Linked DNA regions of Cricetulus griseus. The protein of the gene in region 2 purifies or fractionates together with the protein of the main gene of each other region. This does not show direct contact. Links are inferred from orthologs where the notes say so. Each region holds a gene or a part of one and is shown on either strand. Other genes may lie near its edges.

Evidence for each region. The genes of interacting proteins can lie anywhere in the genome.
Region 1: the proteins of Dusp9 (region 2) and Mapk11 purify together in Homo sapiens (affinity purification with mass spectrometry; 4 studies listed by BioGRID and IntAct, with this or other methods). This does not show direct contact. The link is inferred for Cricetulus griseus from reciprocal best matches to the Homo sapiens genes DUSP9 and MAPK11.

What each region holds. Positions count from the first base shown.
Region 1 is NC_048595.1:385,898,848-385,906,585, forward strand, and holds the start of Mapk11 (mitogen-activated protein kinase 11), read right to left. Parts: upstream 5,202-7,738; coding exon 5,086-5,201; intron 2,496-5,085; coding exon 2,366-2,495; intron 2,192-2,365; coding exon 2,133-2,191; intron 2,041-2,132; coding exon 1,929-2,040; intron 1,836-1,928; coding exon 1,806-1,835; intron 1,721-1,805; coding exon 1,673-1,720; intron 1,583-1,672; coding exon 1,468-1,582; intron 1,116-1,467; coding exon 1,044-1,115; intron 888-1,043; coding exon 808-887; intron 108-807; coding exon 29-107; intron 1-28. UniProt on the Homo sapiens protein: Serine/threonine kinase which acts as an essential component of the MAP kinase signal transduction pathway.
Region 2 is NC_048604.1:2,100,092-2,107,575, reverse strand, and holds Dusp9 (dual specificity protein phosphatase 9), read left to right. Parts: upstream 1-3,134; coding exon 3,135-3,507; intron 3,508-4,044; coding exon 4,045-4,500; intron 4,501-4,811; coding exon 4,812-5,137; downstream 5,138-7,484. UniProt on the Homo sapiens protein: Inactivates MAP kinases. Has a specificity for the ERK family.

The sequences.
Region 1 (7,738 bases), on a different chromosome or scaffold from region 2:
CCAGCCAAGACCCAGTACCAGTCCTCACCCAGAGGGTTGGCTCCATGGAAGACACTGCTGAGGTCCTTCTGGGGCATGGGGGGCAGAGACTGTATGTATGTCCGGGCCTGGAGACACATAAGAAGGGTTTGGAGGGCTAATTACCCTCTATTCCCATAGCCCTAGACTGGGCAGAAGGCTTCAGGAGACGGCCCTGATGCATTCATTCCAACAGGCCTGGCAGGTGCCCCAGCAAGCCAGAGTCTTGCTCTCAAAGTCTGGGGGCTCCCTAGCTGGGCAGTGGTGGCCCATGCCTTTAATCCCAGTACTCAGGAGACAGAGGCAGGTGGATCTCTGAGTTCAAGGCCAGCCTGGTCTACAGAGCAAGTTCCAGGACTCCTGGGGCTACACAGAGAAAGCCTGTCTCCAAAAACAAAACAAAAACAACAAAAAAGTCTGGGGACTCGAGACCTCCACTTGGCTTCTGATAATGCCTGCAAAAGCCAAATAGTCAGAGCTTTCTCTCCCCTCACCTGCCTCCACCGTCTGTAGCCAGAGGAGTTTGTCAGTGTTGGTAGCTTTGTCTTCACTGTCTCTCCTACCTGGAAATGTCCTTCTGGTTCACCTGCTTCCCCCTGAAGGGGTTGGGTTTCTAGCACAAGCCCTATCCCACTCTGTCCATGTCCCCCATACAATGCCCATTTATCTGCACCCCAACCCCTCCCCAACATGACCTGTACTTGGTCAGCAGAACCAACAGATGGATGGATGGATGAAGGGATGGATGGATGGATGGATGGATGGATGGATGGATGGCTACTAACTTACATGCTCCGATGATATCTTTTCCAGAACCTCGGGGCTGGGTGTGCCAACCACCTCCATGATTCGCTTCAGCTGGTCAATGTCTATCTAGCTTAGGAAACACTTGATGTGGACCTGGGTGGTTCAGGACAGGGAGCCCCACCTGACATGGCATAAGAAGTAAGACTTTTAAAAAGGTCCAGAAACCACCCCTACCCTGTAGACTGGGACCCCAGCTTGACCCTGCTCTCCAAGGATACAGTCGTTTCCAGGAAAGAGGGCCTTTCCTTGAATCAGCTCAGCCATGATGCAGCCCACAGACCAGATGTCCACTGTTGGGGGAGAATAAGGAGACACTTTCAGCCTGCCAGTCCAAATCCTTCCTGTGGTGCTGGAGGAAGCCTGCCCAGTGACCCTCGGTCATATCCAGGACCTACGAGACCAGTAGAGCCCTTACTCTATACCCTACCCTGAGAAGAGGTCTGAGGATACCGGCCAAGCTAGAAGCCTTTCTAAAAGCTAGTCCCACCAAGCCCTTGCCCCTCACTCAGAGCTCCAGGCATGCTCTTCTCCCTTTTAGTCCTTCTTTCTACCCCCACCGATTTGTCACCTTCCCTAAACCTTGTTGTGAGCACTGCCTGCCCACCCTTACAGTACAAGACCACTGTTGAGGGTCTATGGTACCTGTCTGGTTGTAGTGCATCCAGTTCAGCATGATCTCTGGCGCCCGGTACCAACGTGTGGCCACATATCCAGTCATCTCCTCATCAGCTTGGCGCGCTAGCCCAAAGTCCAGGATCTGGAGTACCATAAGTGTTATGCAACTTCTTTGTGCAACCTACTTCTCTGTGCATCCCCGCTGCTCACACACCCCCACCAACATCCTTACCCTAAGCTCGCAGTCTTCATTCACCGCTACATTGCTGGGCTTCAGGTCCTGCAGGGTGGACCGGGTGTGAGTGAGGCAGCCATGAGCCTAGGCAGAGTGACTGACCCTCACCCTCGCCCACAGCTGCACCTACCCGGTGGATGATGCCTGCCGAGTGGATATACTGCAGGGGAGGGCACACCGGGTGAGTTCAGGCTCCATCCCTTTCTGCCCAACCCAGCGCTGTCGAGGCAACCCCAGAGCCCATGCGCCCCACCTTCAGCCCACGTAGCAGCTGGTAGACAAGGAACTGAACATGCTCATCGCTCAGTGCCTGACACTTGACGATGTTATTCAGGTCAGCGCCCATCAGGGTGGTCACCAGGTACCTGCGCCAGGATCAGGAGTTAAGAGAGTGTCTCACTACACCCTCCCCGACTAAGCTCCCAAGGCCATCACCACGCATGCCCGGGCCGCTCACACTTCGCTGAAATCCTCGATGGATGTGGCCGGCGTGAAGACGTCCAGAAGCCCTATGATCTGGGCAGGGAACCGAGGAAGGACCACAGCACAGCTGTAGGCAACGCCCCACTGGTCTGGGCCCCGCCTATGTGGAGGCGTACCCTCCAAAGGCCCCACCCCACCCACTTCGCTCCCGCCCCCACCGGGCGGTGTCGGTTGTTCAATCCCTACAACACTGGCCCGCTCTCTCACGTTCTCGTGCTTCAGGTGTTTGAGTAGGCGCAGCTCCCGGTAGGTCCTCCTTGCATGGATCAGCGATTGGAAAGGGCGAGACAGCTTCTTCACAGCCACCTTCTGGCGCAGACGCGCGTCGTAGGCTGAGCTGCAAGGTGGGCGAGTGAGGCGATGAGCGAGCGCCTGGCCCAGAGTCCACCCTGCACCGGAGTACAGGAGCAAGCCTCCGCTGCTGGCTCCTGGACCTAGGAGGCCTGTCCCTGCCTGCTCGCTCCGCGCTGTCTTCACGCCGCCCCTCTTGGACCTCCCTTAGGTGACCCCCTTGAGTAGACTGATCGTTCTCTGGTAGAGGTTTTTTTTGTTGTTGTTTTGTTTTTAATCTTTTCTTCTTGAGAAACCTAAGCCTCCACTCACAAGGAGGCTGTTGCATGGACAACACACTATGCCCACAAACACTCCCTCAGCAAGCAGGCCTCCTCCTTCCTCACGGACCCAGTGAACAAGGGAGGCTTGCCTAGAAAGCCATGGGAACCACACCCCCACGCCTCCGCACATCAGATTGAGGAAGGAAGAGGTGTTTATTGCATCCTAATTTATAATTGAAGCTGGACATGGTGGTTCATGCCTGTAATCCCAGCTCTTGGGAGACTGAAGCAAGAGAACTGAGATGAGGTCAAGACTAGATGGTGAAACACTTTCAAAACAAAAACAAAAAACCCCACACAATTTATAACTGAGTAACTGGGTGGTAGGATATGCTCATCCCCTGTGGGTTGGGGGGGCTCTCTGGCCCACTACCACCCCCCAGAGACTGGAGGACCCTCCACCTCTGTACCCTTTTTGTTTGTTTGGTTTTGGTTTTTGGAGACAAGGTATCTCTGTATAGCCCTGGCTGTTCTGGCACTCTCTATAGACAAGGCTGGCCTCGAACTCACAGAGATCCGTTGGCCTCTACCTCCTGAGTGCTGGGACTAAAGGCATGTGGACATGCCCTCTATTGGTGGGACCTAGCCCATCATGATCATGAGCTGTGGTCATAGGGCTTTTCCCCAAGTTCTGGTCCCACTGCTGTCAAGACTGGGGCAGTTATGAATCCACTGAAGGAGTCCAGCTAGCCACAGTCTCTCCCTATTGAGTCTCCTCATCTCAGGGGTGCACCCTTCCCTACAGTTAGTGGAGACAGGGTACCACCCATCCCCACTGGGCCAGGGAAGGCAAGGATGTTCATGGGACTAGAAAGTAAGGCAGAGAAGCCAGTTCCCCGTGATAAGCAGAGTGTCTAAACAGCTCCTGCAGAGAGGCATGAAGGGAGTGGCCACTAAATCAGCAGGCCCTGTTGCTCCACTGCATCTCAACAATCAAGTTACAAGGAGTTGGCATCCTAGCACCAACCTCAGGAGTGCAATTGAACAAGCCCAGGGTCACAGATCAGTGGAGACTGACCTCGGCCTCACTTGGGAAAGTTGGCTATCTCCCAGCAACTCCTAGATGTTCAACCCTGAACAATTTCATCTTAGTCAATGTCCAAGCCCCCTGCAAGGCATATGCCCCACATTTCTCTCCACCCTGTCTGTTCCCTGCCCCTTTCCTCCCTTCCTCTAAAGTATTGTTTGTTTGTTTGTTTTTTTTTTAATGGGATTTTGTGTAACCTCATCCCCCTCTACTTGCTGTGAGCATCCCAGACACAGCCTGTCTTTTTTCCTGTCTCCTGTTCCTTGGGTATTGGGGGGGTATCCTGTCTCTACTCAATGTGGACGGGAGTACACCCTAAGAGAAAGAGAAGCAAGAAGGAGATAAGGAGCAAATATCATCAGGAGAACAAGCTTATCCATCTCAGAGTGCTGTGATTATAGGCTAAGGCATGGGGCACAATCCCGTGACCAAGCTCACTCTGGGCCCTGTAAAAGCAGGACTGGTTTCCTCTGGGTTGAGTCTATACGATTTCATCAGAGCCCTGCTGTGAGGGATTTGACACAGGCTTCTGATGACAGACAGATGTCATTACAAGATCCAAGATTTGAGTCTCAACCCCCATCCCCAGGGCTGGGGTGTTAGCCCTTGACCAGCCTATCAACATGGACTATCTGCACCCATTCTCTAGTTCCGAGTGCCTGGGAGTTAGCTGGTTTCAACCACCAGGCACTCTACCCCGATCCCCGAGCCCTAGGTGTGGAGCTGTATTCTGAGATCCTTTGTTGGATAAACTGGGGTAGGGTGTAGACAAGATAGGTGTCTGATTTTGCTCAAGCCGTTGTCTGAGACTCCTAGGATACTGGAAGAGGGGGTAGGATCCATGGCAGAGCTTGATGCCTTCCGAAGAGGAGAGGTCTCCTCACGGCGCTGGGGGCCCCCTTTTCAAACACGCAAGTCTGGGGGCAGGTTAGACCCTGCAAGCTACTTAGACTCTGCCCCAAATAACCAGGATGGCAGTTCCATTTAGCGACCCCAGAGTCTTGCTCTCCCGCCAGCCAGCTGTGACGCCGCGGGATTCCGCCTTACTGGGAGAAACAAGGGATCGAAGATGGGGGTACGTTAGAGGAGCCCCTCCCTTCCAACCAGTGGAATCCAGTAGGAAAGTTTCCTCCGTGTCCCCTCCCCCCCCATTCATTCTTAAGAAGCGTGCCGGCCGGGGGCGGAGGCAGGGCGAGGCCCCTCCCCACGCCGGGAACCCCACGTCGCGCTGGAGGGTCGCGCACACTTTCCCGCCCAGCTCCCACCAGATCCTTGCTGGCCCCTACCAGACCGAGCCGTAGGCGCCGGACCCCACCGGGCGTAGGCCCTGCAGCCGCTGCGGCACCTCCCATACTGTTTTGTTCAGCTCCTGCCGGTAGAATCCTGTGCGCGGACCCGACATATCCGCAGCGGCAGCTGGAGCGAGCGCCCCGGAGTCCCGCGCAGCACCCGGCCCGCGCCCCACGCCCAGCAGGCGTGAGCACCGCTGAGCAAAGCGGGGTGGGGGTTGGGGGGCTGCGGCGCAGCAGGGCGGGGCGGCGGGGCGGGGCCGAGGCCCGGCGGATTTCCCCAGCCTGGCGACCGGGGGCGGGAAGCGGAGGGAGGGGTGGGGAGTACAAGGGGGTGCAGGAGATTTCCCGGAGACAGACGCGCGGCTTCCTGCCCCTGGATGACGGCGACAAAGGAGAAAGCCGTCTTCCCTCCCGTGGGGATGACGAGCGGACCTCTGGCTTGTTTCCTACATTCACCTTCTGCATGCCACGCGCTCCCCCTGCCCTTCCCCAGGTCCCAGTCCAGGCTCCTTCCTCAAAAATGAGGGAAAATTGTCAAAAGAGAGCTAGAGCACATGGTGAGAATACATTCAGAACAAAAAAAAACCTAGCCACGTTAAAAATTAAAGGCTCTAGATTAAAAACCAGCGCCATGGCGCTAACCCAGGGCCCCACTCTGGGAGGCGCGTTGTGGTCTGGGCGAGAAAGACGCCTCCGTTGGGCATTAGTGGTTCACCTCCTGACAGACTTTACCTTGGTGACAGAGCCTTCAGGAGACGATATCTACCCCACATCTTGCCCCAACCTGGGTCTAGAAGTTCCTGGAAGAGGTGAGCGCCCGACGGCCAGTCAGGACCAGGGACAGCAGCAGCACCATGGTTGAGGCCACAGGGTTTGGTCCCCAAATGGATTCTTTTTGATATTGGGTAATTTTCCTTCTTATGAAGCACTCACCTCACTGACGCCTGTGAAACGCACCCAGCCCTGACTTTCTCAGGCCACTAGCACAAGGCGGCCCAGCAGGTCTACCACCCAGGCAGGCGAAGTTCAGTTTGTCACCAAGTCTAGAAAACTCCCTTTTCCTGGTGTCCAAGGTGGATACTCCCATGTGCAGTAAGGCCTCACTAGTATGTGTCACTCTAGGACAGCAGTTCTCAACATGTGGGTCTCAAACCCTTAGGGGTCTCCCAAGACCATCAGAAAACACAGATTCCTAACAGCAAGATTACAGTTATGGAGTAGTAATGAAAATAATTTTATGGGTGGGGGCCACCGTAACATGAGAAACTCTATGAAAGGGTTAGGAAGGTTGAGAAACACTGCTCTAGACCCTACTTTTATTCACACTTAAAGGTGAACATGGAGCCAGGTGTCATGGTACACACCTTTAATCCTAGTACTCAGGAGGCAAAGGCAGATGGATCTCTGTGAGTTTAAAGCCAGATTGGTCAACATTGTGAGTTCCAGAACAGTGAGCACTATATATGAGAGACCTCCCCCCTCTTCCCTCTCTCTCTCTCTTTCTCTCTCTCCTCTCTCTCTCTCTCTCTCTCTCTCTCTCTCTCACTCTCACACACACACACACAACCAGCCTTGTCCCCAATAAAGAAAGTGAACATGGACTTAATGTGGAGGCTTCCATCTCTAATTCAAATGCTCAGGAAGCTGATCTGGAGGACCATAACAAGTTTAAGGCCTTTCTGAGCTACATAGAGAATTCAAAGCCACCTGAGCTTCAAAGTGAGACCCTGTCTCAAGGCAAAAAGAAAAAGAAAAGCCAAGTATGGTGGCATACATTTTTAACCCCAACACTGGGGGGAGAGAGGCAGGTGGATCTCTGTGAGTTCAAGGCTACCCTGATCTACAAAGCCAGTTCCAGGATAGCTAGAGCAACACAGAGAAACCCTGTCTTGAAAAACTAAAATAAATAAAAATAATACCAATATAATGTAAAATATAAATTAAAAATTAACCAAGCTGGGCAGTTGTGGTGCACGCCTTTAATCCCAGCACTCGGGAAGCAGAGGCAAGTAGACCTCTGTGAGTTGGAGGCCAGCCTGATCTACAGAGTGAGTTTCAGGACAGCCAGGACTACACAGAGAAACCCTGTGAAGAAACAAAGCAAAACAAAAATTGCCAACTAAACTAAAACAAGCCAATGAAGTACCAGGCTAATAGAAGTATCCACCCTGGTCTACAGCAGAGCAAGTTCCAGGACAGGCTCCAAAGCTACATAGAGAAACCCTGTCTCAAAAAAAAAAAAAAAAAAAAAAAAAAAAAGCAAAACAAATACCATGAATTAGTGAGGCACACCAAGTGACCAAGAAAATAGCTCCAAGCCTCAGTCTCTAGCCCCTCTCGCAAGACTTTGCCCAAGCCCTAGGCCATCCTTGGCATCAATTCCCCTCTGGGAGCCATTCTCAATCCTGGAGCCTAGCCAGAGAACCTGAGGGTGGCCCCAGCCCCCACTGCTCAGGACAATAAAAGCTCAGAAAGCACCTTTCCCAGGGGTGGGTTGAGGTTTTGTGCAAAGTTAATGGAGCTTCAGCTAAAGGCAGAGGAGGGGGGAACTGAGCCAGGGTGATGGTGGGGGGTTGGGAACCTTGACTGCACAGTAGCCAGGGGGGAGGGTAGTGGCCTTTGTCTGTACTGCCGCAGGGCAGGGCCA
Region 2 (7,484 bases):
CCAGATACCCATTCTGACACTGGAATGAGTATGTAAGGGAGGAGAAGGTAGAACGTTGAGAAAGAAAGAAATGAGCCATGCCACAGCACTGCTTCTTTGAGGCCCCTGGGAGATAGAGAAGGAAGTCTGCAGGCTTGCCCATGAGACCAACAGGGTATAGGGGCTGGGACATGTGCAGCCAGAAGGGTTGGACTGTATCCACAGAGCCCCATTTGCCCAGAACCGTTGAATATCAACATCCCAGAAACAGGGACAGGTGAGGTAGGGGCTCAGTAGTCTGAGCTCACTGGTGGTTCACTACAGTGGTGGAGAAAGGGGGAAAACTGGAGGGCCCTCTGAGGTAGCTTTAGTCTGTATGGGTGGCTTCTTCCCTAGCATCACTTCACAAGCATCTCACCTTAATTCTGGCCCAGGTGAGGACTCTTTTCAATAGGCATAGATGGTCTGCAGTGGTGCTAAATGTTGCTCTTTCAGGGGAGTTAGCATTTTTCACTCCTGAGAAAAATGCTTTGCAGTACTCACTCTGTGTGCACCAGTCTGCATTCTTGTCTGTGGTTTCTTAAGCAGGAGCCCCAGAAGTAACTCATAAGTATGGGGTTTTCTTGTCTGATTCTTTTGTTGTTGTTGTTGTTTAGGGTTTTCATTCTTTTGTTTTGTTTTGTTTTGTTTTGAAAGGGAGTTTGAGACAGGGTTTCTCTGTGAAGTCCTGGCTCTCCTGTGTCCCCTGACTGGTGGGATTAGAGGTGTGCACCACTACCCCTGTCCATCTTTATTATGTGGTTCTTTTTTTCTGGTTTTTCTAGATAGGGTTTCTCTGTGTAACAACCCTGGGCATCCTGAAACTTGCTCTGTAGACAAGCCTGGCCTCAAACTCACAGAGATCAGCCTGCCGCTGCCTCCCAAGTGCTGGGATTAAAGGTGTGTGCTCCCAATCCTACTCTTGTCCAGTTCCTGTTGTATATTGTTACACTCATTTCCAAAAGGGTACTACCAAAACAAAATCCCCCCCCCCTCGGGATGAGAACAGCACACTTGTTTCACAGCAACCATGCTAACACTAGGTGTTTTCATTTTGAGAACATTCTACTAATGTAGTAACTGGGAAGCACTTCTTTGTTTTTGAATTGGCTTTCCTTCCATGCCTGAGCTTCAACCTTTCCCCAAATATTCTTACCCCATCACATTCCTTCCTTCAGGCAGAGTATGCAGTCCTTGAGTTCCTTACCCATTTATCTACAGGGTCTTAACCCTTTGTATTTTGTGCGAGCTTTATCTTATCTGTTGTGTGTTTTCCTTTAACACTGTTATTTGCTTTTCTTGGGCTTTTAGCAGAGAAAGAACACATGGCCAGATGGGGCTTTTTTAGGAGTCTCCCCCTACCTCTCCTTTCATTGTCATCACTTATCACCCCGATATCTCATTCAGCGTCTTTGCTTATTGTTAGTGTGTCCTGCCAGACTGGAAGACCCAGGCAAGGAGAGCCCCTGTGCGTCTTTTCTGCTCATCACCTGTCTGGAGGGCTGGTTGGAGGCCTTCAGTTTTTGTGGGCTGAATGGTGCTCTAGCATGGGGCAGGGTGGAGAACAAGCTGAAGTTTTAGAAACTAGGACTGTGACTTCTGTAGCCATGGCCAGTGCAAAAGATGGCGGGAGCATGAGGATGGTGACATATTACAGTGAAACGACTTCCCTCCATGTGGATCAAAGGTCACAAGGAGGAGCGAGGGATGGCTTTTAGGATTCACCATGTGATAAGAGCACAGTGCCCGAGTTTAATAGAGTTGGGTGCTCAGAATTCCTGGGTACCTGTAGCCAGGCCTGTACAAATGAAGCCCAGATGAGAATAAGGAACACAGGAGCTGCCTTGTGCCTTCAGTATTTCGGTGGCATTTCACAGCCAAATTGGATGGCTCTGGATAGCCCATTATACAGATGGGGGCCATCTAGTTCCAGACAAAGGCTAATAGTTAAGGGTTATTAAGTGAGTTGTTTGAGGCAGTTTCTGGTTCTGGGGTGCTGGGCTTTTGTCCCCACCCCTCTTCCTGATTCCAGGGACCAGACTGGCGCCGAGCAGGGGCAACTGCCACTGGTCCCCTGCTGGGCCCCCGACCTGCCCTTGGCCTCTGCCCCGACCCAGTCCCGCCTGGGTGGAAGCCCTAGCTCAGCTTGCTGCTTGCAACTCCCACCCGGCTGTTCGTTCTCACTGGTTGGCTGGCCTGGCCTGTATGCCCGCCCCGCCACCCCACCGCCCCCCCCCCCCTCCGAGCAGCTACTAAGTCGGTCCGAAGGCTGCGCGGCTCCCAAGGTGGAAGCTGGATCCGGCTGCCAGGAAGCGGCCAGCGCACGAGTGGCGCGAGGCTTGGCTTCCACGTGCGAGCCTGATCCGCCACCCCGCCCTCTCCGAGCGCCCAAACCTGGGGACTCCCTCTCCAGGGACGATACCTGCGCCCTGCCCTGGCACTAGCTGTGGCCAGGACGTCCACGCGCGGCCGCCTGCCTCTGGATCTGGCTCCAGGTCTCTCCTTTTGTTCTCTCCTGGGGTGGGGAGGAGTGGGGCCGAGTCAGCTCTTACAGGACTCGCCTAGGCCCATCACCTCGGTGACCCTCTTGTTTTCTGGTTCTTCCTGGCCTTGGAGAAGATTCAGGCCTTGAACCCAATTTCTCCACACACCCCAAGTCGAACTTGGGGAGTGATGGAGATCGGGGCGAGTGAGAAAGTCAGAAAACGGGTGTGGAGGGAACTGGATTTAGTCCTCCTAGAATCCCCCCCCCCCCAAAAAAAGAAAGTCTTCATTCAAGAGGCCGCTAGACTTTCTCCTTCTGGGGTATGTCTTACACAAACTCCATCTAAGCGGGACAGGGAGCAACACCCCAGTGGCGGCGGCCTCGGGTGTTTTTCCTGGGGCGCCTTCCTTGGTTTTCTCACTGTGGGTGGAGCGCAAGGAGAGAAGCAGGCGGTGGAGGAATGTCCCTGCAGGGACACTGGGCGCCTGCCCTCAGGACAGGGCCTGACTTCCCGTCTCAGTAGCCTGGTCCACACTGCGAGAGTAGAGACAAACCTTCCCTCACTCTGCGCCTTAGGTCTCTCCACAGCACACACTGCCCGACGGACAGAAGTGCAGAACGCTGCGCACCCATGGAGAGTCTGGGTCGTTCGTGCCTGTGGCTGCGGCAGGAGCTGTCGCCCCCGCGCCCACAGCTTCTACTGCTCGACTGCCGGAGCCGGGAGCTGTACGAGTCAGCGCGCATCTGCGGGGCGCTGAGCGTGGTCCTGCCTGCCCTGATGCTGCGCCGCCTGCGGAGAGGGAGCCTGTCCGTACGCTCACTCTTGCCTGGGCCACCGCTGCAGCCTCCCCCACCCGCCCCTGTGCTCCTATACGACCAGGGTAGTGGCCGATCCAGGCATGGAGAAGCAGAGGCCGAAGCCCCAGAGTGGGAAGCTGACTCGGTGCTGGGCATTCTGCTCCAGAAGCTGCGGGAAGAAGGCTACCTGTCCTACTACCTACAGGGTACGTGAGGTGCAGTGGGCTGAGAGAGGGCACAGGGAACCTGTGATGGCCTCAGGTCAGGAGACGGTCCTGCCTTCCAAGGGGGATTTCATAATTATTTTATCCTTGGGCAAACCCCATCGCATTTTGTCTAAAATGTAGGTTAATATAATACTTGCTCCCAGTAACCTACCAGACAGCTTTTGGGAAGGCAGACCTAAGTGTGACCTTGGGCAAATCCTTCATCCGTCCAAGCCCATTTATAAATCTGGAAAATAGGGAGAATTGACCTGAAACAACATAGTTCACAGGATGTTCCCTAGAGCAAGCGGCTGCACCATACAGAGAGACAGCCACAAGTGCTAAGTGAGAGATGGCTGTCCATAGTATGCACCACACGTGGCTCTCCAGTAAAGATTAAACTGCTGGTTTGTGTGTTCCCTTCGGCAATATCTGCAACCCACCTAGGTTGTTAGGGTCACCTCCCTAGCCTCAGCTAGGGATTCCTGGCTGCCCAGCTGGCTATAATAGCAAGAGCACCTCTTTCTTTCCTGACAGGTGGTTTCAGCAAATTCCAGGCCGAGTGTCCTCACCTTTGTGAAACCAGCTTCAGTGGTTGTGCTGGATCAAGCCTGGCCGCATTGCCTAGCCCAGTGCCTGTGGTGGGGCTAGGTGGCCTGTGCTTGGGCTCTGATACCTCTGATGCAGAGTCTGAGGCCGACCGTGACTCCATGAGCTGTGGCCTAGATTCGGAGAGTACCACATCCCCTCCAGCTGGGCTGCTACCACCGTTCCCAGTCCAGATCCTGCCCAATCTCTACCTAGGCAGTGCCCGAGATTCAGCCAACTTAGAGAGCCTAGCCAAGCTTGGCATCCGCTATATTCTCAATGTCACCCCCAACCTACCTAACCTCTTTGAGAAGAATGGTGACTTCCACTACAAGCAAATCCCCATCTCTGACCACTGGAGCCAGAATCTGTCCCAGTTCTTTCCAGAGGCCATTGCATTCATTGGTGAGTTCTCCCTATCCTCCCTGTCTTCTCTTTCCACCTGTCCCCACCTACTAGACTGACTCCTGGTCTGTCCTGCTCCTTACCCTCTCCTGTAAAGGAGTTTTTGCCTAGTTTAGCTACCCTCACCCAGAGCAGACAAGGCACTTGGGGAAGTGGGAGTAGAGCTCAGGTCAGCTGCCAGTAAAACCTCCCAGATAAGGGCTAGGTGGGGTGGAGAGACTGTGATGATATCCCCCAAAATTCACTGGGCTTTGGCCTCATTCATGCTGATCCTTGCCTTGTGGGGGGATGTTTCTGTCTGCTCTACCTAGATGAGGCCTTGTCCCAGAACTGTGGGGTGCTCGTCCACTGCCTGGCAGGAGTCAGCCGCTCTGTCACTGTCACCGTGGCCTACCTCATGCAGAAGCTCCACCTCTCACTCAATGATGCCTACGACTTGGTCAAGCGGAAGAAGTCTAACATCTCGCCCAACTTCAACTTCATGGGCCAGCTGCTAGACTTTGAGCGAAGCCTGCGCCTGGAGGAGAGGCGCTCTGGGGGACAGGGCAGTGGGGGACCAGAGTCCACTGTCTCAGACCCACCTTCTTTCTTTACTACCCCTACCAGCGATGGGGTCTTTGAGCTGGACCCCACATAAAGCCATGTGGAGTTGCTGGGCTGGTCCCTACCTATGACCCATGTATTAGCAGGGATGGGATGCAGCCATAATGGGGGGGGGAGCTCAATACCTCAAGCGGGGGTGGTGCAGCAAAGCAGGAACACAGCAGAGACCTGCCCTACCCCAGTTCTATTACACGTGCCTATGGGTGGGTCCATGGATACAGACCTGACTCGCACCACTTTAGGGCAGGACCATGCTCCAGGACCATGCCTCTTCTGTGACTGTTACTTTATTCTTTCGGGGTGGGAGTGGGGCTTCCTATCCAAGAGACCATTCCAGACTGCTGCCTGGTGCCTGGGCTCTGTCCCTTGCCATTTCCTCTTCAGGAAGATTATATCACACTTTGCCACAGGGACTTGCTCTTAGTTCCTTCCCTGTCCCCAAATGGCCACTTGTGGGAAAAGGTCTCACAGCTTTCACTGGTGTAGTCTCCTTCCTGCCTCTCTGGCTAGCGCTTAGACCTCTTGTGGCTCTGGGATATGGACCCAGAGATGCCATTGCTGCTCTCAGTATCCACAGGGGCAGCCTTTTTTGCTGGGCAGTGTCACATGGGAGGGCATGGGCCTGGGAGCCAATCAGTGGGATCCCAGCCACACATCTGGTGCCCTGACTGTTTCTTTCCTCCTCCCACAGATGTCTTGACAGGATCACTGAGACTCTTTGTGACTGAGGGTGGTCAAACTGCCACCGGAGGAGATGGGGGTCTCTGAGTGAGAGCTGAGGGGGAGGGAGAGAAGGATGAAGGCCTCAATTTTGCTGCTGTGTGTCTCACACAGCCGGTATTGGTTTGGGGGGCAGGGAAGGGGCCAAGCTGCAGACACACACACATGGTCATTCATTGCAGTCCACACCCCTTTGTAAACAGTGTGTATGTATGTGTGTGTGAGTGTTCACACATGCATACTAGCCTACTCACACATTCAGCCTGGGGCTGGCAGTACCTGTGGCAGGAGAACCATCTTGTCTTTGAACCTGGAGAGGGTTGTGCTTATTTGTTTTTGTAATCCACTTCATAATCGCTTTTCTTTAATTGTTCCTCCTAAATAAATGGTTTATTTAAGATACTGAACAGAGAGTGCTGCCTCCTGGGCTCTTTGGGGAAGGGAGGGAGAGGAAAGGGAAACCTGCCCTTCATCCATTCATCATTTCTCATCTATGTACATTGCCTATTTGGCTACCTGGCACACACTGTAGGGACTGGGATAAAACAATAAGCCAAACATGATGAACCTGCATGTTTGGAGCTGCGTTTCCAGAAGGGGATGAGATACCCCAAATCAGTCATGAAGTTGCAACTGACCCCGAAACCCTGAGTAAAAGTAGGCTGTCTATTATCTTCAATAGGGAAAAGCCATGGGCTGGGTGTATCATACTGTGTGGAATCAAGGTTGCAAAAGCCTAGGCAAGGTCGGGGAGAGCCATGGGACAGGTGTGCACTTGGGCCATCTGCAATGTTAGGTAGAGCCTACATCACTGGGTCATCTAAGTTTTAGGTAGGACTCTTCTGTTCAACACTGCCAGTGCCTTCTCTACACTGCAGCTGGCAGAACTGGGAATCTGTTTCCAAAGCTTACAGATAGAGCAGAAAGGAAGAGCATCAGAGTATGTACAGGGGAGAAAGTAATGGAGGGTAATGTTTTAGTCAGGTTTCTAGTCAGCACAGGAATACCTGAGGCAATATGCTTGCAGAGAGAGAAGATTGATTTTTCGCTTACATTTCAGAGTTACAGGCCATGGCTGGTTAGGCAGCACCCAATGGTGGAAGTATACAGTGAAACATGATTGGACCCTTCATGACCAAGAGGGAAAAGGGTGGAAAAGGAAGGGACTGGGGCCCCCCAAGACCCTTCAAGAGCCTATCTCTAACTAAAGATATATCCCCTCTCCCAGTAGCAGTGCCTGAGGGCCTATGCCCTTAAAGGTGGACTTTTGAGAAACATTCAACATCCCAACTGCAGCAATGGACTTAGAAACAAGATGTTTAGGTAGCACTCCCAGTCCAAAAGCCCTGAAATGTGGATGAAATTTAAAGCCCTGTGACCAGCCAAATGTTGGTGGCACACGCCTTTGATCCCAGCACTCAGGAGGTAGAGGCAGGCAGACAGATCTCTGTGAGTTTGAGGCCAGCCTAGTCTACAAAGCTACACAAACAAACCCTGTCTCGAAAAAAAAACCCTGTGACAAAATGGCTGAGCTAGTGAGAAAATGAGAGAAAAACTCTGAGGGAAAAAACAAAAACCAATGACGACCTTCCAGTCCAAAAGTGCCTGGGGCATAGCCTAGGACTAGGAGCCAGAAGCCTCCACAGGAATGCAGCCATTCC